Lytechinus pictus: one gene and its partner. The protein of the gene in region 1 purifies or fractionates together with the protein of each later gene. This does not show direct contact. Links are inferred from orthologs where the notes say so. Each region holds a gene or a part of one and is shown on either strand. Other genes may lie near its edges.

The links.
Region 2: the proteins of segment polarity protein dishevelled homolog DVL-3-like (region 1) and vang-like protein 2-B purify together in Drosophila melanogaster (affinity purification with western blotting; 3 studies listed by BioGRID). This does not show direct contact. The link is inferred for Lytechinus pictus from reciprocal best matches to the Drosophila melanogaster genes dsh and Vang.

Annotation. Positions count from the first base shown.
Region 1 is NC_087258.1:11,335,934-11,348,600, forward strand, and holds the start of segment polarity protein dishevelled homolog DVL-3-like, read left to right. Parts: upstream 1-7,705; 5' UTR 7,706-9,271; coding exon 9,272-9,443; intron 9,444-11,334; coding exon 11,335-11,455; intron 11,456-12,667.
Region 2 is NC_087252.1:12,406,382-12,418,786, reverse strand, and holds the start of vang-like protein 2-B, read left to right. Parts: upstream 1-6,287; 5' UTR 6,288-6,385; coding exon 6,386-6,454; intron 6,455-6,899; coding exon 6,900-7,127; intron 7,128-12,405.

The DNA of each region.
Region 1 (12,667 bases):
GGTTAAGTTTTTGAAATGTCATCATAACTTAGAAAATATATGGACCTAGTTCATGAAACTTATACATAAGGTTAATCAAGTATCACTGAACATCCTGCATGAGTTTCACGTCACATGACCAAGGTCAATGGTCATTTAGGGTCAATGAACTTTGGCCGAATTGGGGGTATCTGTAGATTTACCATCATAACTTTAAAAGTTTATGGATCTGATTCATGAAACTTGGACATAATAGTAATCAAGTATTACTGAACATCCTGTGCAAGATCAAGGTCAAAGGTCATTTAGGGTCAATGAACTTTGGTCAAATTGGGGTATTTGTTGAATTACCGCCATAACTTTGAAAGTGTGTTGGTCTAGTTCATAAAACTTGGACATAAGAGTAATCAAGTATCACTGAACATCCTTTGCGCATTTTAGGTCACATGACCAAGGTCAAAGGTCAATGAACTTTGGCTTAATGGGGGTATCTGTTGAATTACCATCATAACTTGGAAAGTTGATGGATCTTTCTCTTGAAACTTGGACATAATAGTAATCAAGTATTACTGAACATCCTGTGCAAGTTTCAGGTCACATGATCAAGGTCAAAGGTCATTTAGGGTCAATGAACTTTGGTCAAATTGGGGTATTTGTTGAATTACCGCCATAACTTTGAAAGTGTGTTGGTCTAGTTCATGAAACTTGGACATAAGGTTAATCAAGTATCACTGAACATCCTGCATGAGTTTCACGTCACATGACCAAGGTCAATGGTCATTTAGGGTCAATGAACTTTGGCCGAATTGGGGGTATCTGTAGATTTACCATCATAACTTTAAAAGTTTATGGATCTGATTCATGAAACTTGGACATAATAGTAATCAAGTATTACTGAACATCCTGTGCAAGTTTCAGGTCACATGATCAAGGTCAAAGGTCATTTAGGGTCAATGAACTTTGGTCAAATTGGGGTATTTGTTGAATTACCGCCATAACTTAAAAAATATATGGACCTAGTTCATGAAACTTGGACATAAGGTTAATCAAGTATTACTGAACATCTTGCTTGAGTTTCACGTCACATGACCAAGGTTAAAGGTCAATGAACTTTGGCCGAATTGGGGGTATCTGTAGATTTACCATCATAACTTTAAAAGTTTATGGATCTGATTCATGAAACTTGGACATAATAGTAATCAAGTATTACTGAACATCCTGTGCAAGTTTCAGGTCACATGATCAAGGTCAAAGGTCATTTAGGGTCAATGAACTTTGGTCAAATTGGGGTATTTGTTGAATTACCGCCATAACTTTGAAAGTGTGTTGGTCTAGTTCATAAAACTTGGACATAAGAGTAATCAAGTATCACTGAACATCCTTTGCGCATTTTAGGTCACATGACCAAGGTCAAAGGTCAATGAACTTTGGCTTAATGGGGGTATCTGTTGAATTACCATCATAACTTGGAAAGTTGATGGATCTTTCTCTTGAAACTTGGACATAAGAGTAATCAAGTATCACTGAACATCCTGTACGAGTTTCAGGTCACATGATCAAGGTCAAAGGTCATGTAAGGTCAATGAACTTTGGCCACGTTGGGGGTATTTGTTGAATTACCATCATATCTCTATAAGTGTATGGGTCTAGTTCATAAAACGTAGAAATAAGAGTAACCAAGTATCACTGAACATCTTGTGCGAGTTATAGTAGTTTTCAAAATCAGCACTGCTGCTATATTGAATCGCGTGATGCAGGTGAGACGGCCAGAGGCATTCATCTTGTTAATTTCTAGACGTTGGTTTGCCTCTATCCATTGAAATTCAGAAGATCTCGTACATGTACACTGCCGATATCCAGGTGATTTTCCTACACATACCATTTAAATGCTAATGGTAAATGTTTACAAAGGACACCTGCTGGCCAAGAATTGAGAATAGCCCCTTGAAAATTGAAGAGGAAAATCTCTTCCATAAGAGATTTAAAGCAGGGTTAGCTACTTGAGTTGAACAATAGAGGGGGGTAGAGAGGATGAGAGTGTCATAAGTGGAAAGGGAATTTAATGACAAATGTTGTTAGATGGATGTGAGTGTAAGACATGCTATTTCTCTAAAAAGAGCAACCTTTTGTCGTGTGTCTTAAATATAGATTAATACTGACTGACAGTTTTTTTTAATTTACTTGGTCCGAATGGTCATCCTAGTATCTGATGAAACTATAGAACTTAAATTTTAAATGATAAGCTGATTCAGTTTCATTTAGATTATAAATGTTCCCTGCCACTATCCAGATCTGTACTTATTTAAACTAGATTTATTGTTCATAGATCAGAATTAGGAATAACAAATGATAACTTTTTTATGGTGAATATTGTTAAAAATCAAATTTAGTTAGGAATTAATTTTGGTTGGAAACTCAATACCCAATGATTTTGCTAAAGAAATATGACCACCTCCCTTGAAAATTGCCTACATTGTACATGTATAAAAGTGAATTTTCAAATATCCTCATTGTTGTAATGCTTGAATTGATGTTTATGGAAAAAGAGCTGTACATTTCATGCAACTAAATATAATCTTGTTATCTATTCATTAGAACAATGTGGCCTAATTAGATTCCGCACTTGATCAATCCATACCCATCCAGATATTCAAATTGGCCACTTCATGTCTGTAGTAACCAGCCTCGCCGGCTAGCCTCGGTGCTGCCAGTTAACATAGAAATCAATACAGCCATTGGTAGCTGGACCTTTGTGTAGTCCCAGGCTAATTGTCCTGGTGTTGGTAATGAGTTCCGGTTGAGGGCGGATGTCTATTGTGACATGCAGTCGATAAATATTGTGAGCGAAGGCGGAGGTGGTGATGGACAGATGGTTTTCTTGGGAATCGGGTCAGAGGAAAGAAAATAAATAATGAAGGAACAAAAGTGACAGAGATAAAGTTTGAGGGGGGGGGGATGGAATGATAATTATAAGATCTAAGGGTCTTTAGCAAAGAATTGATAATTTGAAGACAGTTTGAAATTTCCATAATACCAAGTTATTTTTGGAAATATTCAAAATAAAGACCAATTTTCTGATAAAATAAAGGGGTATGAAGGGGATTTCAAAGGAAGTGATATAATTTAGATTTTATTATTTCAGTAAACGAATGCTATTAAAATCATAGCCAGTGTAAATTCCTTCAGCAAGAAATTTATCCACATTTTGCTGCACTCTACCCAAGTGACGTATGGGTATCCAGGAAGGATTACTGGAAACTTGCTGGCTCAAGAGTAATAATTTTCAAGTTCCTTTGGAAGTTCATACATGTAGAGATGTATGTGATATGCGTTATACATGGGCTGCGTTTATGCGACCTCAAGCCAGAATCATGATTTGAATCATGGTTTGAATCATGATTCAAAACACAAACATGAATCACAATATCACAGAATCAGCGTTTAGACGACCTTCATTCCAATGCTGTTTCTCCTCAGATTCGGGCCAATCCAGTGCGCATCACTAGTGCGCAGTTTGACAGAGGAAGTTTTTCGCACGTGTTTCGGCTCTCGAAAATTCTTTTGCTTCCATCAGAATTCAGTCTATACCTCATTTTGTTTACTTCTATCATAAAGGGTCCATATGCTTCTATTCATCTTGTTAGTTTATCCAAAATGGTGTTTGGAAGTGAATTTCAGCGTAGATCCAATTTGATATTGATACTGTATACTCAACAACAACTGAGATCATTGTCTGTCCAGTTAATCCATTTACTAGAACTTGAAGTTGAAGACATGACCAAAAAATCAAAAGTAGTGGACGATGCGATGACCAACCCAGAACTTGAACATGACAAGAAATGAATTCATAGTACATAGTCATGTACATACAATGAGCATATAGAGCGCCTTGAGCTTGGCAAGAGTCAAACCGAAAGTAGCCCGACGCAACAGTGAGGTCATATAATCATGATTGTAATCACGATATCGTTTATTCGAACATTTTCGTACGTGATTCTGCAGAAACGTCTTTCCAAACGCCCCTTTTTTCGTGTTTCATGTTTGTGATTCTAATCATGATTATATTCAATTTCGACTAAACGCAATCGTGATTCTGCAGAATCATGATTTGAATCATGATTCAAATCATGATTCTAGGGTAAAAAAGTGGCGGATAAACGCACCCATGGACTGAATATCATAATTATTAAAGAAGATCAGTTTGGGAATCTTATGGGGAACATTCCTGTGGTTTTGTCTGTCTATCCATCGTCCCTTGGTGTTTATATTTGATGTTTAGTTTCAGAACAGTAGTTCCTGAAACTCTTTTGAAAGGAACATCAAACGTGAGGGTAGCGCCTTTTCTGACTTGTTCTGCTTTCTCTTCAAACTCTGCTCCATTGTTTTCTACATGGACTAGATGTGTGATAGGTCTGGTTCTATTTACTTTCATTTACCATATTCAAGGCCATAGTTAAGAAGATCTGATCTACTTGTACTTTGAATTATTTTTTGATATGACTACCATGGTACTGTAGTCGTAAAGTATTGAACTTGTAATGTACATTTACCTGTCATGCACATAAAATATTTTTTTTTACTTGAATGATAAGACACTTGGCCTGCCAAGTTACTTCTAAGAGGCTTAACATCAATTTATTCTGTTGGCATTTCGAGAATCCCTTGATTGACCATAATTTCCAGTCATTTTCTGGAGATGTATTTTGAATAAAAAAGGTTTAACGATTAACAGTAATGTTGATTGATCATATAGTTGATTTGAATGATTGATTGCACATAATCATTATGTAATTCATCATATAATCAGCCTTGCAATCGAATGCTTAAGTTTGTGTCCTCAGGGTATAGAAAAAGGATAGAAGATGCAATAGAGAACATCACCCTCACCCTCTGTCTTTATTCTTCACTCGATCATCAACACCCTTGGTCATCACTTCCACTTTCACTAAGATCGTTTAAAGAGCAGGCCATAGTAGAGCGGCACTCCCTCCCATTAGAATCCGATACAGTGCTATTGCAATGGTCTTGACAGAGGAGAAGACATGGTGAGGTTCACAGATGACAGAAATGTTGCAATGTGCTCCTTTCGTTCTGTTGTATCTCTTTCAGTGATGGGGATTTAAGAGGTGGTGCTGAATAAATGTTTTGCGTTGAGGTATTTATCCCAAAGAAACAAGACGTCATTGTTGTTGTTGGTGTGTAGTCGTTGGCGTAGGGTGATGACTTTTAAATGACCCAAAAATCTATTTTCATTCATTCCTTTCGTCAATGTCACAAAAGGTTTGTTTCTCAGTGATTTCATAAGTCATGGGAAAGGGTGTGAGAAAAAATGCTAGAAATGAAGGCGGAACATCAATATAGACGAAGTGAATGTAATTATAATGTGTAGAGGTTCAAATTCTCTCCACTGACTTCAAATATATGTATTATTGGTATTCAGTCCTTTCTTGTGAATTTGAGGAATATTTCCAGAATAGGTCGAAATTGTGAAAGACGAGTTCACATTTGTGAAATTAAGAATCATTCTTGGGATGTATTATGGTATGTTAGCACATACAAGAAGAGATATTCACGGGGGACATATGAAACTTGTAATATAATCTTAGTAACAAGGTTTGATCGAAATTACTTCAGTAAGAACAATAACCCCAATAAATTTAAAATTATTCAAACACTGGATAATCATGTCTTTCATTGCGATTAGATGATGTGTTATTTTTGTAATGAAGAATATGATGCATTCAATTATTTCCTTCAAAGATTTAGCAAGTAAATACACCAATTCGTACAATCCCATGTTACCAACTGATTATCTGTCAGTCATTAATCCATCCTCCCCTTCACCTTCCTAAATCCCCTTTGCCCCCTCTTCAAATCCTGTCGGACAAGTCTTCATTTTATTAGAGAAAATTGACAAACAATTATCTTGTCATCCTCCTCCAGTCACCCACAAACAAGATTATAGTATTGATCCAAGCTGAGAAAAACTTATCCAAACCATTTAGTTAGGCAGACCCTCCTGTCCCTCAAACCCATCAATCATCATCCCCGCCCAGTGTGGGTCTATTTATTGGAAGGGGGGGGGGGGGGCAGCGTAGCTATGGTTGCCTCCTTTAATTGGGTCTATATATGTAGTACGATGGAAAGTAAATTCCCAAATTATACTAGTCAGAAGTGTGAAGTTGACAAATGTGCATTCTAAGGTTGTTAAAATTGCCATTGCTGAAGAGATTTTCCATGAAAATATTTGCCATTTAATAGTCTAATAAAAAGAAAGTTGGAAAATTAATACAAATTCTATCTTTATGATACAAGATAAAAGAAACTTGGCAATTAGTACAAATTCTAGCTGTATGATACATTTCCCCAATCAAACTTATTTTGTCCTTTCCATAGCAATATTTTTGTATTAACCCCTTTTCATTTTGTCTTTATATGTACCAAACTAATAATTGTTTTTCTCCCCCAATGCTATTTGGTCTGTATCTACAGAATTAGTTTATGACACCTTCGGGACAATTTTCATCAAAATGACATTTCATCACCAAAAAATCCTGATAACCTTTAACCTTTGTTAGGGAACCCATACACCCCTAATGATTGGTAGTAGTTTCTAATATCCCCCACCAAGCTTTACATCCCTGCTTGCATTGAGGGTTACTAATGATATTCAGAGGTTGATATCTACTAATGACCGTGTTAAGAGATTTCAATAGTTGCCTAATGGATGTGATTGAGGAAGGAAATTTCAATCCAGTCAAAACTTCATGCAGTTGCCATGAGATGGGGTCATTGATTTGTTATATTAGATAAATATGGTATATAACACTATCTATCCCAAAGTGATATGATGAAATAAAATACATCAAAGCAATGAATGAAAATTGCATTTAAAGATATGCTTCCATCTTTACGAGTTGTATTAGCCAGAGCAGTAAACGGGAAACATTAAAAATGAACAGTGAATAAAGCAGAAGAACATTAAACATGAAGAGTTTTTATGACCGGTTATGGCGACAGTGTTGACTAAGGCTGTTTGGGTTTGCATATTGATTATCATATTCATATGTTGCTAGATACGGATTGAAATCTGTTAGTTTCAAGGTCAATGAACTCTCCAGGTCATTGACATTGATTATGTGACGGGGTCATAGAGCTGTCACAAATGATGCCATTCATCTTTTTCAAAGAGTTATTTCCATTTTCCATTTTTTACGAATGAAGGGTTCTATTAATATCATCTCTCATAATCACTGGAGGTAAACGTAAAATGAATACAGATTTTTTTAACAACCTCCCATAAAATATTGTGAGGTTTATTGACCCTCTGAAAATCATATTGATTAGCATAAAACTAACTTCAATGAAGTGAATTGTGACTCTGGTGTTATTGTAAACACTTGTGGGATTTTGATACAGACATTCAGGGCCAATTACAATGCAAGAAATCTTTTGGAAAATAAAAAAAAGGCAAAACAAATCCATCCACCCCCTTTGAAAGAAGTTATCGTGAAAGGAGACATTTTGATTGGAGCTGAAATGGCAATTTAATGACCATTCACTCAAAAGACAATTTCATGGCGTGCTTTGATGGAGAAGAGTGAGCGTTTTACTCAGAGATAATCATCGGGACAATGGAGTCTATAGACGACCACCTTTCTCTCTCTCGGTCTCTCTCTCAGTACCATGGGTCACGCAGAGAAGTGCAATGCATGTAATTGCTTTTGTGTTTTAGTGGTACGAATGAAAGAAAGAAAGGAGAACCCAGGCTGCTTCAGAATGGTCATCTCTTATTGATAGTGAAAACAGAGTTATAGAGAGACTGTTTGTAGGGATTCAGTTCAGTCTGTTAGAAGCTCTGCTCCTGATGTCACTGCGTCCCACGCATGTCTGTTGGGGTTCAGTCAAAGACAATATTGTTGAATCGGACTATAAGCGTCCATCATTGTTTTTGCGTTGTGAGGCTTTGCTCGGTCAAATATTCTATTCTCTGGAATCATCCTCGGTACTTTTGTTGAAGTTGTGTATGTCTTTTTAGCATTGGACATGCTTTCTTCTTGAACTTTTATAATTGTATGTGTGAGTCACCATAGGAAGGGACCCTTCCAGCATCCTCTCCACTTTGCCACTCAACACAATGAAAGCAGTTATCCTCTAGGACAATAACATTGCACCCTTGAGAAGATAAATGGATATAGAGTGGGGAATGATCTGAAGAGCAGCGTTAAAATCTTCAAACTCCATTGAGGAGACTGAATCGGCTCTAAACCTATTCTCCTTGCATGATTAGACTGGAGACATTTAACAGGAGGGCGCAACGTAAAAAAAAACCTTGTGAACCCAGTTAGTGGGATTCCTGCAGGGGTCCGGCCATTCAGTCATCAGCGACCCTTGTCAAAGAACCTGGAGTAGGGAATACTCTTCTTCAATCCCATTATTCACAGATACATTAGTATTTATCCACCTCGATGTCTATTTATCTTCAGCTATATGGGGGACCTCTTAAATGCATTGCATGTGGAAAGTCCCATTTTGCAAATGATGATGAGGGTGATTCCTTGTCTGGTAATACTAGCTCCAGGATATGTTCCTTATAAACATTCTCAGTGGGGTTAAATCAAAGCCGTTGCTCCAAGCGATCATCAGAGATGTGTCGCTCTGGTGTTGGATGTTAGCAAAGCAGACATGAAACTTGTCTTTCATTGTTGCCAATTTGGTTGGGCAGCCGGTGTAACATTCCACGCGACAGAATGTCAACAGTTGTGATTTTAGATATGATCCCTTCAATGGTCTCGACAGTACAGGATCCGATAGCATCGATGAAGGCATCAATGGTGCATCAACGAGTTGTGAGATGCATTCAGTATCATCTTCAAAATTTTCCTCATGGACCCCATAATGCAGTGTTCCCGTGTTATGGTTATAAGGATATTTGCAAGTTTTTATGAATATTTGAGGATCCGTGCATAGCTTTATTCATAATCACCATTCGCGGTGTGTTTGTGCACAGAATACATACGTGTATGATTTGTATCTGTTGTGGAAACAGTATACATGTATCTATCATTTCTCATCATGTTTTATGTACAGCGATTTGACATTTGCAATTGGCAAAGTTGCCATTTCTTGTCAGTTACGATTGGAAGTGGATTAAACACAATCAGGAATTACCATAAACCTTTTCATTGGATTTCCGCTCCTTGATGAACATCGATTAGCATGAGATTGTTCGAATAAAAGACATTGTGCGGTTATCTTTATCAGAGTAAAACAATTTTCTTATATATCTTGTATGGGGAATTCCGCGATCAAATCCCCACGCTGTTTTTGCCTGCCCCCGATCCTCTTTGCCCGTTCCACCCGCTGCCACCCCCGTAGTGATAACCTCACTTCGGCTCGTTCGGGCGTCCAGATGCACCTCGTAGCGGAGGCCTATACTTTCTATTCTTGCCATCATTATACAGGTATAGCCATGATTCATGTGTTTCTCTCAATATTCTTTACTAATTATTAAATGCAAGCATTATGTATTCAGTCTGTGTAATTCAGGTCCAAATGCACACTTTCAAGAACATTGAAAAACAAATCCTAGTAGTTACACCTTCAGCTATTTTCTAACTCATTTTTGTCACTAATTTGTAAAAATTGCAAAGTTGTTGAACGAAATAAAATTGAATTTATTTTGCAAAACATTTAGATAATTTATAAATCATTATTCTTCATGTATACATATGATAATAAGCCAGGACATAAAAAAAAAAACAAGGAACAATTTACTTGTAGATGAGACCCTGATAAGTTGTACCATTATGGGTAACTTTCAGGCCTGGTATTACTTTCTGTGGAATAATCTTTGGACTCCAGTTTGGAGGACATCTAAATTATGGGTGACGTTGAGCCTGATGACCATGATATTCGCCATTGGTGGCAAGTTTGATATTAGATTATATGTAATTGGGAAAGATATTTGGGGCAGTCCATTGGTTCAGGAAAGTCTTGATTGCTGCTTTCTAAAATAGGATATATTAAAGTGAAGTGCTTGAAATTGCCAAATGTCAGAAAAAAAGCAATTAAAAAAAAAAGTCAATATTCTTTGGTTCTAAAGCTATTAAGAAACCTATATGATTTGAGAAAAGGAATATGAATGACTGCAAATGAATAAAAATGCTAAGCTGGCTTTTTTTAGGTACTATTCTTGATAAAGTTATTAAGTATAAAGTGGTCTATAATTAGTTTCAGGGATCTACGATTTCGCATTTAAAATCTGTAATGTTCAAGCTTCTCTCCTACCGAAGACATTGTGAGGGATAAAAGCATTCATGATCTCAGAAAATAGCCGGGGGATTTGAAATCCATTGGGCGCAAATCCCTGATGGAAATAAGATAGATTGCATCTAATGGAGAGAAGATCTACAAATATCAAGCACTAATGTAACCCTTCCACAAAACTTGTATTGTTGTGTCGGAAGAAAGGGTTTATATCTTTGGAAAGCTTTCCATTTTTATTTAATCCCTTATTGGGGTTCTACGATGATGGGATGACCCATTGATAGATGTTTGTGAATGTTTTTTTTTAAGTAGTCCCCATCCAATGTATTCAATTATGCTATTATGTTAGGTTGAGTGAAGTAATTCTGAGTTACTACTCTTAGAGGCAAGATAGAAATAGAAATGTTAAGCCGTTAAATGCAACTTGGAGGCACTTCCCAAGTTCCCACAGAGAATATGTGCATTTCATGTAAGAAATTGTGATTTTATGTAATATTAATGAAAAATATGATATTATATTCAAGTTGCAGAATGTTAAGGTTTATTATTGAATTCATATTTGGGTTTTAAAAATACATATACTTCAACAGATGTTGTTTATTTTTTACATATTTTGTATTTATGTGTATGCTGAATATATGTTTAGAAGATGCATACTTGTATTGTATGCATATTTGGGACAGGAGCTCTAATGTTCAGTGTATTGTTCTCTTTCTCTGCATGAAATTTGTTAACAATTAATTTTGCTCTCACTTTTCATTTACGTTCATACTTCATACTTCCACCTTTGCACAAAGACTGCTTTCGTATATCCATTGGGTGGTCTTTTATGTACAGGTTTTACTGTAATTCAACTTTCATTGATAATACATGGTTTCTTTGTTCATTATTGGGCCATGGAGAAACCAACCCCTTATCCATGGTAAATGTAGAGCATATGCTACAAATGGCTACAAAGACAATTATTTAATATTCCAGTTATTTCATTTGTTGTGTTTTTTGTTTGTTTCATAAGAAGAGTATAAATTAAATCTGATTAGTTAAGTAACAGTTGTATTTGTATCTTTTTTGTTTGTTTCTTTGCAGTTTCAAGGAGCAAGAGAGATCATCACCATCGAAGCGGGCATGGATACGAGAGTTCGTCAACGTTGATGAGCAGCGACATCGACTCAACGAGCTGCTTTGACTCAACGGACGATGACAGCAGGTTTGTTAAAACTCTTTTGAAGAATTCTGAATTATTTGACTTTCTTCAGCAGATCATCTGCAGATCTATAAATCGAAACTCATAGACCTATGTAAGAGAGAAGTCTACGTTGTCAATTCAGTAGGCATATCAATTAGTATTGAAAATAAACAAACAAAAAAGTTTAATAATAGTCAAAGTGGGTGACATGCGACTCTACGACCTGCTTTGACTCAACAAATCTTTTTAAAACAATTCTGAACTCTTTGACTTCCTGTAGCAGATCATTTTCATATTGTACCTGAGCCAGAACTCCTTACCTACACTGTACTTTATGGAGAAGTCTACCTTTTTTTTCCAATTCAATTTATGAAAGATAGACTAGAATCAAATATGCCAAACTGTGAATTAATCATTAAAATTGAGTGACATCGAGTAGACGAGTTACGGTACGCATGATCGGAACTTGTTCTTACGTGCTAAGTCAGCTACTGAGGTATATATCATCTAGCACTGGGTCACCGATCGTGCACAAATTCATGCATAAATTATGACCAGCTTTATGAACTGGCCCCCAACACCCATCATGTTTAAAATACTCCTTTGAAAAGATTGATGAAGCCTTCACGCAAATTATGAATCATGGAAGTGGCACGATCAAATTACAATATTACGTTCCTATCACTCTATCCCATATCAAATTCAGTCGATGTATGTATTTTGTTATAGTTTACATAGGCCTCCTTTTTAAAATCGCCCCATTCTGTCAATAATCTGGCAGTATACCGTACACAGTGCTGTGAGAGTTCAGATTTTTATCTGATTTCAGATTTTTTTTGTTTTGATTTTCAGCTTAATTTCAGCTTATTTTTGGCCTTCCTCCGTACAAAAAGTATGGGAGCTCTTTCTATTTCAGACTTTTTCAACACTCTTCAGCTCTTTTCAGATCTTTTTATTTGTGACCACTCACACCCCTGACCATACATCCAGACGCTTCAGCAACAGTTTTGCTACGGAGAACAACACGTTATCCTAAATTGAAGTGCCCTCGACAAGACTCAATTTCACCCCTCTTTTAATAATCAAGTTTCTCCCCTTTTCCCCAAAGCAAACTCATCACCTGTGTCATTATTGACATTTATGGAGAAAGAAATTATTCATAATCTGTGTGCAATATAAACTGATAGGTGCATGCCAAGAATCCAAATATTGACAGACCCATATGAAGGTTTT
Region 2 (12,405 bases), on another chromosome or scaffold:
AAAAAAGTAAGGAGTTTCAATACTGTATATTATATAAAAAAATTAGTGATCAACAAGGGAAGTCCAAATAGATGATTGATATGTAATTTTTTTTTACATCTTATAATAATTCCACATTAGCATGCAAGAGGAAGTCATCTTCCAGGCTAGAATGAATCAATTATAAAGGTTTTCTTTTCATGCTCAATGACAAAGAAATTAACCTGCACTGACCAGTGAAAATCACCAGTTTAGCTGAAGGGATTCACAAAAGAATACGCCTACATGAAATAAATTAAAATGGTTAGAATCACCTATTTCATATACTATGGAGATAAAAAAGTACTTTTTCTGTTCACTTTATGTCAAATCAATTACTTGAATTAAAATAGGCCTACTATTTATAGTTTCTGAATCCAAATCCTGCAATTAAATGCATTATATATTGTGTGTCGTACGGGACAAATTTTAATAAGACAATTATTGAAAAATGAAGGGCAGTAATTAGATCCTTATGGGATAAATCGATCACCCATGGGTCAAAGAAAGAGCAACTGATATTGTGAAATTGCATCATAAAAAATAAAATTGTAGGAAAAACTTTTGCATTTTCATGTGTCGTACGGGACATTGCCAAAAATAGGTTAGGAAAAATCAGGGCTGCCCCTATTATGGATCATGAAAATGTTGTAGATATTATTTGGAACCATCAATGATACATTATTCCATTGACCTGCAATATTTTCAATCTTCTCGCGCTGTGCCAATAATTGTTTCAGGCAGTGTTTGTACTTGACTATTTAATCAGCAAAATTATTGAAAATTGAAAATTCCATTGTTCCCCCCCCAAAAAAAACTATATCTGACTTCACTTTTGGTTAAAACTCATAATTTTCAAAAAATTTAGGTATCATAGTAAAATATTACACTACTTGTGACTTATTGAAAGCGTGTTGAAATTTATGACATTTTTGAAGTTCTAGTGTGGAATCGCCCTAATGATAATGGTTTTCATAGTGATGATGATAATGAAATCTTATCAGTACTGGTGGTGATGATGAGGATGATGATGTGATGATGATGAAGATGATGATAATGAGATGGTGATGGTGATGATGCTAGTGTTGATGATGGTGATGATGATGGTGGTGGTGATAATGATTGTGAAACCACTCTTGTCACAATGAAATAAATGTAATAGAAAAGAATGGCAATGATTATCAATGCCTAATACCAATTATAATTTTTCTCCTTAAATAAGTCTTTATGCTACTTGTGTATATACCGGGTGGTATAGAACCTTACAGTTAATACAGTGTATGAACGAACAGTACATGTACCGTACTACTGTACATTAATATTACCCAACAGTAATCAGTTCTCTTCAATTGATACTGAATATTCACCACAAATGCACCTGTTGGCCACAGTGTACATGTATGATGTATCTAGCATTATTTAGCAATATTAAAAAAAACATGCATGTAGCCTACATGTACATCCTTCATAATTATTCATCGACCTACATGTACATTAATCATTTCATTCACCTTTTTATTATTATTTCATCAAGTACATGTACATGTAAAGCATACACAACCACCTACAAGTAGACGTAACCTTCTCCTACTCCTAGGACTTCCCTATTATTTCAGTAGGCCAACCTACATGTACACTGTATGTTGCATGACCTCACATTTTATTTCTGTAATCTGGATGAGTCACAGGGCATAATTCATCATCATGGATGGAGGGATTGAACCATTACTCAATCTATTGTCCAGTACTGCAATGAGTGTGTGATATCCGCAGCATAATTCCTCACCCCTGTCAATGGCAGATGGTGGGGAGTCAGCCGCAGTTGGTGATGAAGATGAAGGCGTTAAACTGTGGAAGAAGCACTGATTCTGATATTAGGGAAGGAGGGGTGGGAAGTGTTGAATAAATTCTGTGGTCTCTGCGTGACTACATGTAGGAATGTAGTCTGATGTGCAAACCCTTCACGCGAGTTTAAGGGTCTGAATATGCATCCTACTCATGCCTTGTGTGCTGAAGGCCCTCTAAACAGCAAGTTTTGTACGTGCTAGTCTTTGCTGGAGAAACACTTGCTGATCAAAGTTTCAATCAGGGTCTGTGTCTGCAGACTAGTAGGAATGTGGGTTGTTGATCGGGAAATCTGAACAACTATTTTAGAGTGGGGGGGGGGGGTCTCCCCCTTCTCTGTTATTTCACAGATTCTACATGTACCTTTAAAAATGGGTGAAAATAATGTACTGAGATTTTACTACACTGTATGATACATACATATATGTACATGTAGGCCTACATACTGTACAGACAGTGTACATATTAAAGCCAATTAAATTTCTTTACCATTAATTATGCCAGAAAAACTGTCACTCTATCTGTGAATAGTCATGGGTAGTATGCAAGCACAGACTCATATTTGACACTTCAACCAATAATGGGTCTAGAGTGAAGACTAGATTCCAATGACTCTGTGTGTGTCACCCACAGTGCATAGTGAATCTAGTCTCACCAATTCAGACTCTGCATTATGCAGTATGCGAATTGTGAAAACCAAGGGTTAAAGTGTCGAAAATGGGTCTGTGCCCGCAGACTAGTCATGGGGATGGAAAGGGGGGGGGGGGGGATGGAGGGGGCAGGCACGAAAAAAAATATTCAAGCATGGTGTGAGCACTCCAAGAGATTGTAGCCCTTCAAGGCATGCCTCATTGCAAAGCCTCATCATTCATATGACATCAAATTTACAAATGTCAGGAGTGGGATTGATTCTATTGATTTAGGATTTCAATTTCATGCTCCCTCTCCCTGCCCTCTCATATTGCCTTGGTCGATTCCCCTTCCAGCCATGGATAATTACATGATCGAACAGAAGTGTCAGCATAGTCTGCAAGCACAGACCTATTTTCGACACATTAACCAATAACAGGTCTAGAGTAAAGACTAGACGCCAAAGGTTCAGAGCCAGCCACGGTATAGTGAATCTAGTCTCACTACTTCAGACTCCGAATTATGCAAAAAAGAAGGGTCTGCGCCTGCAGACTAGCCTCATTTTATCTTCCAATATTGCTCAGTGTGTTCAATGAATTCACGTTTGACTGTCCCTAGTTTGCCTCAATAGTCCACCTCCTCAGACCTACAATACTGTACATCTTGAAATGGGGTCTACCAATGATCTTCACTATCACAGAGAAATTGGAGATGCTATTCCAGTCTTGTGCATTTTATCATATTAATTATTTCATCTAAAACATCTCTGGGCTTCCAAATGATGTTGAATATATTAATCTCTGGTTTTTTGCCTGGCAAGCTATTTTACAGCACACAAGCATTTCAAGGGATAGGCCCAACACATGTACACGTTTCCTGCCAGGTACCCAATTCCATCACCTGGGTGAGGGCTGGGGTCCTTTTGTGGCAAATGTGGTAAATGTAGATTATTGCCAAAGGATGATATAGAAACGTATCCATTCGATCATCTCTTGTATTCCAGATGCTCTACACTGTACATTTGGAGAAAAGGAGAGGAGGGAAGTTTTAGGGAAGGAGAGAAAAAGAGAGTCAGGGAAGGGGACAAAAATGAGATTGGTGTGGTAAACTAAGGAGAAAACAGACCTTCGATAACCCTTAGGACTACATGTAGCTACCAAAGAGAATGGGGCGCGAGTCATTGATGCTTGACAAGCATGTATTGGGAAATTGTATTGAGGCAAATATAGGAAGGAGAAAGGGGGCAAATAAAGGAAAGGGAGAAGGGACGATTGAGGAAAAGGGGAGAAGGGAAAATAGAGGAAAGGAGAGAGGAAAAGAGATAAAGAGCAAGAAGAGAGATCAGTGTGGAAAACTACAAAGACTGCAATCCTGTGATCACCCTTAGGACTCGCTACCAAAAAAGAATGCAATGCAAGTCATTGATACCTGACAAGCACGTAGTGGGAAATTGTATCGGGGCAAATATCTCGGGAACCAGATAGGTGAAGTCAAGACCTTTCATTGATCAGGATCTCTGATGTCCAGATCAATGGCTTGGCTCCATGGCAGGGCTCCGTTGCTGGGTATTCAGTTGTACCCATCTACCAAGAAGCTTGCAGGACTTGCATTTTACATTATAACTCAAGTTCTTCCATTAATATAATAATAATTTATTTATTTATAAAGCGCTTTTTGCCTGAGGATACAAAGCGCTGCTATTATTACCCTGGCTTAATCTCGAGCATGGACCTACTAGTAGATCCATGGCTCAAGCTACCATCACCGGCGCTCAGTACCCATTCACCTCACTGGGTCGAGTGCAGCACATTGTGGAACAAATTGTGTTGCTCCTTTTTTACACTGAATCATATGAAATATTATACTGGTAGTATGAAAAATAGTTAATTTTTGTGGATTATATTGATAAGCAATTTTATGGTTTGATTAAAAGTATGTGCATCTACGTGCAGGTTTTTAAGGGGGGGGGGGGCTTTGGGTAACTGCCCAATGTCACAATGAAAACTACAGATTGTGAAAGAAAAACAAAGTGCCAACTACACTTTAGATTTTTATTTTTTTGTGAATTTAATTTTGACACTGCTCAGTTCATCGAGGCTTTGATGGAGAATTCTCCCCGTGATTGATACGAATACTTTCCATGCGTAAAAAAGTTGTTTTTCATTAATTCAGTTGGGGGAGAATGCACTTTATAGCTGGATTGATGGGTAGAGTCCCACGGGATATACTGCATCATCAGTATTCGAGCATAGATTGTTCACATGATTACACATTCACTCATTCACCCATACATTGTGGGCTGTGCAATTGCACTAGTCTACAAAGCGCAGACTCAAATTTGACACTTGAAGAAATTATACTGCCATGTACATGTAGGGTGAAAACTAGACTTCATTTTCTCTGCCTGTGTCAAATAAGAATAGCCACACATGAGTGAATCTAGTCTCCTTTCAGACTCTGCACTACATGTATGTAAAAATTATGAGGTTATGCCTTCATACATTGTGGGTTGTACAATTGCACTAGTCTACAAAGCGCAGAGGAGACGCGGTAGCTCAGTCGGTAGAGCGGGGCATTCGTTTTCCAGTACCCCGGGTTCGATTCTCACTTGGTGCGCTAGTGCCCTTTGGTAAGGCATCAATCCTCAGTAACAGGTCCTTCGGAGAGGACATTAAGCCACCGGTCCTCTGGTTGCTTGCTTACAAGCATTCATGCTTTCTTTAATAGCAATCAGGTAAAAAATCGCCACCAATATATATAAATCACCAATATACATGTAGGCCTACAGTGTATATTGCACAGAGAAGATCCCTTTCACATTGCAGTACATTAAATATTTGCTTTCTTGCTGCCAAAAATACCTGATATTTTATGATAGGTGTGCTGTAGATCAGAGAGTAAATTTCCAGATCCAGGGGGGGGGGGCTTCATGGAGTCGAAAACAGCCATTTTATTAATTTTAATTCAAATCACCTGTATGCAGCTGGTACAAAAATGTTTAAACGACTGTTGTCGACTCGCCGTACGGTCGCCGTAGAGCAAACAGCTTTATGAAACACCCACCAGAGGTCTGATATTCTCGAACAAGTTGGTCTGAATACGCCTCCATATTATTGGAAGCTTAAATGTCTGGTGCAGGGGCTCATGGGATTGGTGCAGCTTATAAACAGGTCACATGACCAGCTGTTTGGGTCAAGTACTGTGTAGGGGTTGATTCAACATTCGAAACTCTGACATAACATCAGCCACATGGATGTCAATTCAGATTATCATGATTTTTGCTTTCGACTTTACTTTCTATGCACACTGCATACTCCAGTGTCTGTTTTGCTGGTTTTCTTTTGCAATTCCTGGGAATTTTATATAAAAAAAGGTATAAATACTGTTACATGGATGTTGTGGCAGTGATACAACATTTGTCCTAGCGACACCTGCTCCGTTCTTTATTTCATAATAGGGTGAGGGTTGCAATAGGGTCTTATATTAATAGGGTTAGGGTTAGGCTAGGGTTGTGTTAAGTATTAAATCCAGTGTTGAAAATGGTCATTTGAATAGTTTGTGGAATTGATGATAGCGGAGCAATTGTTGCCGGAGCAAATGTCATAGAATTGTAGTGATAATCGCTAATTTTTGTCATAAAGTTCTCATTATCCAACAGTTACCATAGCTAGCAACAGTTACGGTTGGCACAACTTGCCTGGTGACAAACATTGATGAAATGCTCCCCCGTTCTTTTGTATTCCAAATCAGCAAATAAAAGACTGTCCACCTTTTTTTTTCTTGTCTTTCCCTCCAGATGCAGAGATAATCATTCAAACTGACGGTCACTGCCGTATTCATCAAGACTGACACGGGATCGGGAACACCGCCCTCTGGAGCCAAAACATTGAAAATGGATACCGACGGTGCTCCTGAAAATGCTGATGATAATGGGGGGTTCCCAGTTACTCCGCAGCCTCAGGTACTAGAATAGGTTTTTAACAAATTGCTTATAATTGCAGTCACAGTTTCAAATTCAGTTTGCTAATTTCAATTATGGTAAAGTAAAGGTTCATGGACTTACCCTTACACTCCATCATGGAATTATATTTTTTTGGTCAAATTGAGAAGAAGAATCCTAAACAAGTTCAAAATGAATGATTCAAGGATGAGTACATGTGAAATGTGAAATTCCAGCAACTCTTAGGGATTTTTTTTCCCCTATACAGTTATGATTTACGAAATGGCAAAACGGTTATGTTTTTTAATAGCAGTCATTTGAACGGTAGTACATGTATGCTTTGATTCAGCCCTAGTAGGCCTACAGGTATGTGTAAAGATTTTGAAAAAAAGCTAATTTGCTAAAATTATTTCACGATTAAAAGGCCAACATGAATCCTTGATAATTGTGTGGATTTCCCCTACAGAACCAAAGTACAAGGAGCAGTAAGAGCTCGAAGAACAAATACCGTGACCGGGACACGGACGAAGACAGCGAGCGTGGCCACAGGGGGCGACGTGGTCGGCGACATCGAAACCGAGAGGATTCAGAGAATGATGGAGAAAATAGGAGACACAGCAAAAGACATTCTCATGTAGAACGATCAGTAACCATAGCAACGCACGGAGCTACAACCGACGAGGACAGAGATGAGGTTTGTACAATAATGAGATGTACATGTAATAAAGGATTTTTTGTAAAAAATATTTTACTTCGATATAGTGGAATACTGTCAAAATAAACATGGTAAAAATAGGGTTGATTTTGACTTGCACAAACTACAATGGCTGTATGAGTTGAAAAATGTTTAGACATACAGTACATGTACGTGTACATGTAGGTAAGCCCATTTAATTGAGTTAGAGCATTAATTTAGGCACAAAATCACATGTACAGAACTTATTGAAAGCCTTCATGTACACTGTACTGTCCATGCAAATATGCATGTCTAGACACTGTAACATTGAAAAGTAGAAGTCTTCCATATGTTGTGCAGGGCTCCCAGAGCAGATTACATACATGAATAAAATGTATGTAGTGAAAATCAATGACATCAAACATTGCACTTCATGCAAGGCAGGGTTCTTGAAAAGGTTGCTCAGTGAATGACATGGTAAATTGCCAATTCGTCCACTCAGCACATGGTCTACCTTCATTTGGTCCAATAACCATTTGGTCCAATCATCACTTCGTCTAATCCCCGGTTCGTCTAATCCCCGGTTCGTCTATTACCATCTTGTCTAATAACCAGTTGGTCTAATACCCATTTTCTTTTCATTCATTTTGCATAATTAACACTTTAGTTTAATAGACCACATGTATGGTATATGGACTAGATGGCTATTGGACCAACTGGTTATTAGACGTAATGGCATTAGACTGAATGAGGGTAGACCATGTGGTGAGTGGACAAACTGATGGTAGACCAAATGATAGTAGACAAGTTGGCAATTGGACGAATTGGCATTAGACAAATTGGAAATAACCATGATTGTCACTTTACAGATTATAAGAAGCTACTGCAAATACTTGCATCTGATTGGCTGAGAGTAAAGAAGTCAGCAAAAATCAAGTACAAAACCTTCCATGAAACACTCCCCCGGAACCCCCTTTTCGCAAATAGCTACAACTATAATTGTAAATGCCAGTCTGCCATTATGTCAATTACCATGGTAACAGTGCTCAGCAGCCAATCCAAATCAATTTTTTTTATAGAAGTTACAATAGAAGTGAGTTTTTATTAAACAAGGCATATGGTTTATTTTACCAGGTGAAAACCATATCTCATATTTGACCTTGTTTGACCTCTGAATGCCTATCTTGGGATTATCCCAGACTCCCCTAACTCCAGTTATCCAGTCTCCTCTTCTTCCAAAGGAGCAGGTGTAATAGTCTGTGAAATCTTATCCTTAGAGGCAATACAAGGAATGCTGGTCTAGAAGAGTTTTATTTCCTCTGGATGTAATTGGCGATTGATTTATGGATACATAGCCATGTGTGGTGCAAAATGATTTCCATCATTTTTGTCCAAATAGCTATTCATCCATTTTTTCTCACAGATGCATTTTCCCCAGAAAAGCAGGGATACTGATTTTTCATGTTATTAGGTGATCTGTCAATCGACAGATCAACTATTAATTTTGTACAAATTTTCTTTTTTATTATTTGTTATTCATTTTTATTTTTTCGCCCTTTTCTCGTTCGCACAAAATCTCAAAATCTACATCAACAATTTTCTTCAAAATATCATCAGTTATGGGGACTTATCATGTCATGTGTATAAAACAAGTTCAAGGTCAAAAGGTCCTCATTTTAAAAATCACATCAATCATACCTTCGTTATCAATTATAAAAAATCAACCATATTTACATCACATCTTCAGGTGACGGGTCAACTGTCCATGTCATCAGAGGTCATGTAAAGGTCACGACGTGCGCGTATGCGTGCGTCAAAATTGTAAAATGCTGAAAATCACTTTTTGACCAAAATATCATATGAATCAGGTCATTTTAAGCATTTCAAAAATTTGCTCGCGCACACGGTTACGCGGGCGTAAGAGCACTTTTTTATTCCCACCACCCTTCTCTGTTTGTTATTGTCCAATTTTCATGTGGTATCTTTACCACTAGCCTATCCCTGAACACATCATATAACATTGTCATCCACAAACCTGACACATCATTATCAACAAATTCATCATGGCATGTTTTCTATGCACGCACACATTCCATACCTAGAAGACGGACCCAGTATCATAAAGCTTAGCGATCGACAGTGGGGCTGATCTTTACGATTGATGGTATACAATAATCAGTGCAATCAATCGTAGAAAACAGCCTCATGATCAATTGCTAAGCTTTTTGGGCCTTTCCTTTCCTTGCCTCACATCCCTCACATAAAGCTTTAGTGATCGATAGTAGGGCTGATTTTTACAATCGATCGTATACAATAATCAATGCAATCAATTGTAGAAAACAGCCTCATGATCAATTACTATTAGAGCTTTGTGTTATTGGGCCCTGCCTTTCCTTGCCTATATGCCCTATTCATGAAGACAAAAAAGAAGAAGGGATGGATTGAACTTGGTTGATAGAGGTAGAATTTGTTTCCAATAGAATCAGAGTATCTCTGTATCTACATGTAGGCCTAATCCCTGATCATCAATACCTGAACATTTTAGACGCAAGCTCTGCTTTTTAGTTGGTCTCCTTCCCTCTCGAATTCATGGTATTATTATATTATAAAAGTTGATTTAAATGTTATATTTTGTAAATATGTATATTTTATAGAACTATCATTGTAGATATAAAAAGATTGAAAGATGAATAAATGAAGAGAATTTAATAGAGTTAATTTGATCAAAGAGATACCTTGATTATTTCCCTTTTTGCATTCTTACATGTACATATAACTTTCAGGAAACTAAAGCATTCTAAACTGTCCGGAAAGGATTTGAATTTTGACCATTCTGAGCTCTTGTTTTGTATTAAAAATAATCATACTTTTCTCAATAATTCCACACTCTTGGATCTATAGAAAATCATGGTACTACATACATACACATACACTGTAGACCTATATATCTCTCCTATAATATTCCTCTGGGATAAAAAGGCCTTTTTGCTAGTCTAAATGGTTTTGTTCAATTGCTGCATCTTCCCTTCGCCCACAAACATCATCAATCATATATTAGTAGGGGATTGTGCTGTCAGCTTGTATGTTTTTTCAGTGCGAATGAACTGTGTTTTGTTATGACTAGCAAACCGGCCTAACCAACTCATCACTCTACTCAACCAAATAGACAAGCAAGATTGCTCAAGCTCCGGTTGATATCAAACCTCCTTATCTGGGCCTGAGGTTCTATTTGAGGTGCACAGAGGCTGTTTGCCTGAAAATTTGTTGCTCAGAAATGTCAACATTTTAATCTGTTTAGTACTGTCTACATGTGCGCCTATCTGCACAGGTGTTTGTACATGATCTTCATTTCTACATTCAGAGAATCAAAGTGAATGTGGGCCTATAAATTTTAATACACCATGATAAACATGTATTTAAAAAAAGGAAATTAGCATTAAAATTTGTGTTGTGCACTATGGTCTATGTGTATAGGCCTACAACAAAATATGTGAAATACCAGGTGATAGGAGGGGAGTAACAATTGCCATGTAGTTCAACAAAAATTATGTTTAATGCACAGCCTTTGTGCATACCTCGTCCTTTCTTTGTACAGTATTTGAATTTTGCTCTTGCAATGGATCTAATACCGAATACTGTCATACAGTGCACACAAGCCCTTAGATCACAACTGATTTTGATAGGTTGTCACAAGGCATTGTTAGCACGACCTGGTTCCCAGTGGTTCCCAGCGCAGCCTACATGAGGTTCAGCCACCCACAAGGGGCTATCATGGCCCAGGGGTCATGAAAATGTTAGATGGAGCTATTTGAGGTTTTTATTTATGCGAGCAGGATACATGAGAAGGAGATTGGGAAGTTTGAAATACACCCAAGCTGTGTTCAAGCAACCATAAGAGAACGCTGATACAAATTGTACATGTAGGGCTACATTGTAGTTATTGCAGGGATTGTTTTATATTATATTCAATCAGATACACGTATGCCTATTTATCATCAGTGCTGATTTCTTAAACAGATACATGTATGCCCATTTATCAACAATGCTGATTTTTCCTCATTTTAATGTAGCATGGTTGAAAAAAATCCCTGCTTCCCTGTACAGTATGTTTCAGACATACATGTACCTTGTACATATGTACAAACGTTACCGATGCATGCATAGCATTAGTTAGACTTTTTTAAGGAACCAAATTCGGTGAGGGCCCTGTCACATCGTTCTGTACAAGCCTCGAGTGTGACTTGCAGGTATAAACTATTTTTGCTCCCCCGCAGGACACCGCAGTTCGCCCGCATTGACATTAACTTTCACACGCATCTCACAAGCAGTTGCCTGCAGAAGCGCACGCAATCCTGATTTATGCACACAGAAAAGTTTTGAACATGCTCGAGACTTTGTTGCGGGTGAGTTGTGGGCAATCACCCGCAATTCACGTGCAAGGCTTGCATGTACATGCAACGATTTTACAGGGCCCGTGATCGCACGCAGACATTTTTTGCGGGGGGGGGGGGAGCAGCATGCATAAACTTATTTAAAAAAATTGAAAGCGAGGGAGCAAAGCGATTGAGCTTGCCATTTGGGCGCTTTTGCATTTTATGAAGTGAAATGTAAGGATATCATGCATACACTTAGTGAAGTTGGTGAAAATTTGTTCTCAAACTTTCTGTGGGGCAACTGCCACCCCCATCCCCCACTGCACTGTGTATTAAAGGCCATATGAAGGCCTTTAATAATAATAATAACGTCATGTTTTACCCAGGGTAGCCATTTCAGTTTCGAAAACTGTTCTCCCTGCTTTACATGTATAATGTTATTACCCCAGCTTTAGCACGGCTACCTTGATCGGGCACTCGAGCATTCACCTCACCTGGCCGCGGAAGGCAGCCACCTTTATTATAGGGAGGTGTGCTTCTCTTTGTTTACAAAGGACATTTTGCAAATTTCCTGTAGACAAAATTATGACATACATGTAGATGGATTTCCATTGAGTTACGATTGATTGCATCAATCATAAGTCTTTGTAAGACAGGGCCCAGGTGGGTGTTTCATAAAGCTTTTTGTAATACCCCTTTCATAAACCCAATAAAACCTATCCTCCAATTAGCCGCCTAAGAGTAATGCGGATAATTCAATAAAAATTGCGTTCACAAACTCCGAAAATTATCCGCATTATTTTTACGAGCGCCCGTCCTGAAAAAGGCGGATAATCGTCATGACAACTGGACACGCCCCCTCCGATGCGGTTGTGTTGGAAAAGGGTGACCTTGTGACCGCACCATGGCAATTATCCGCATTA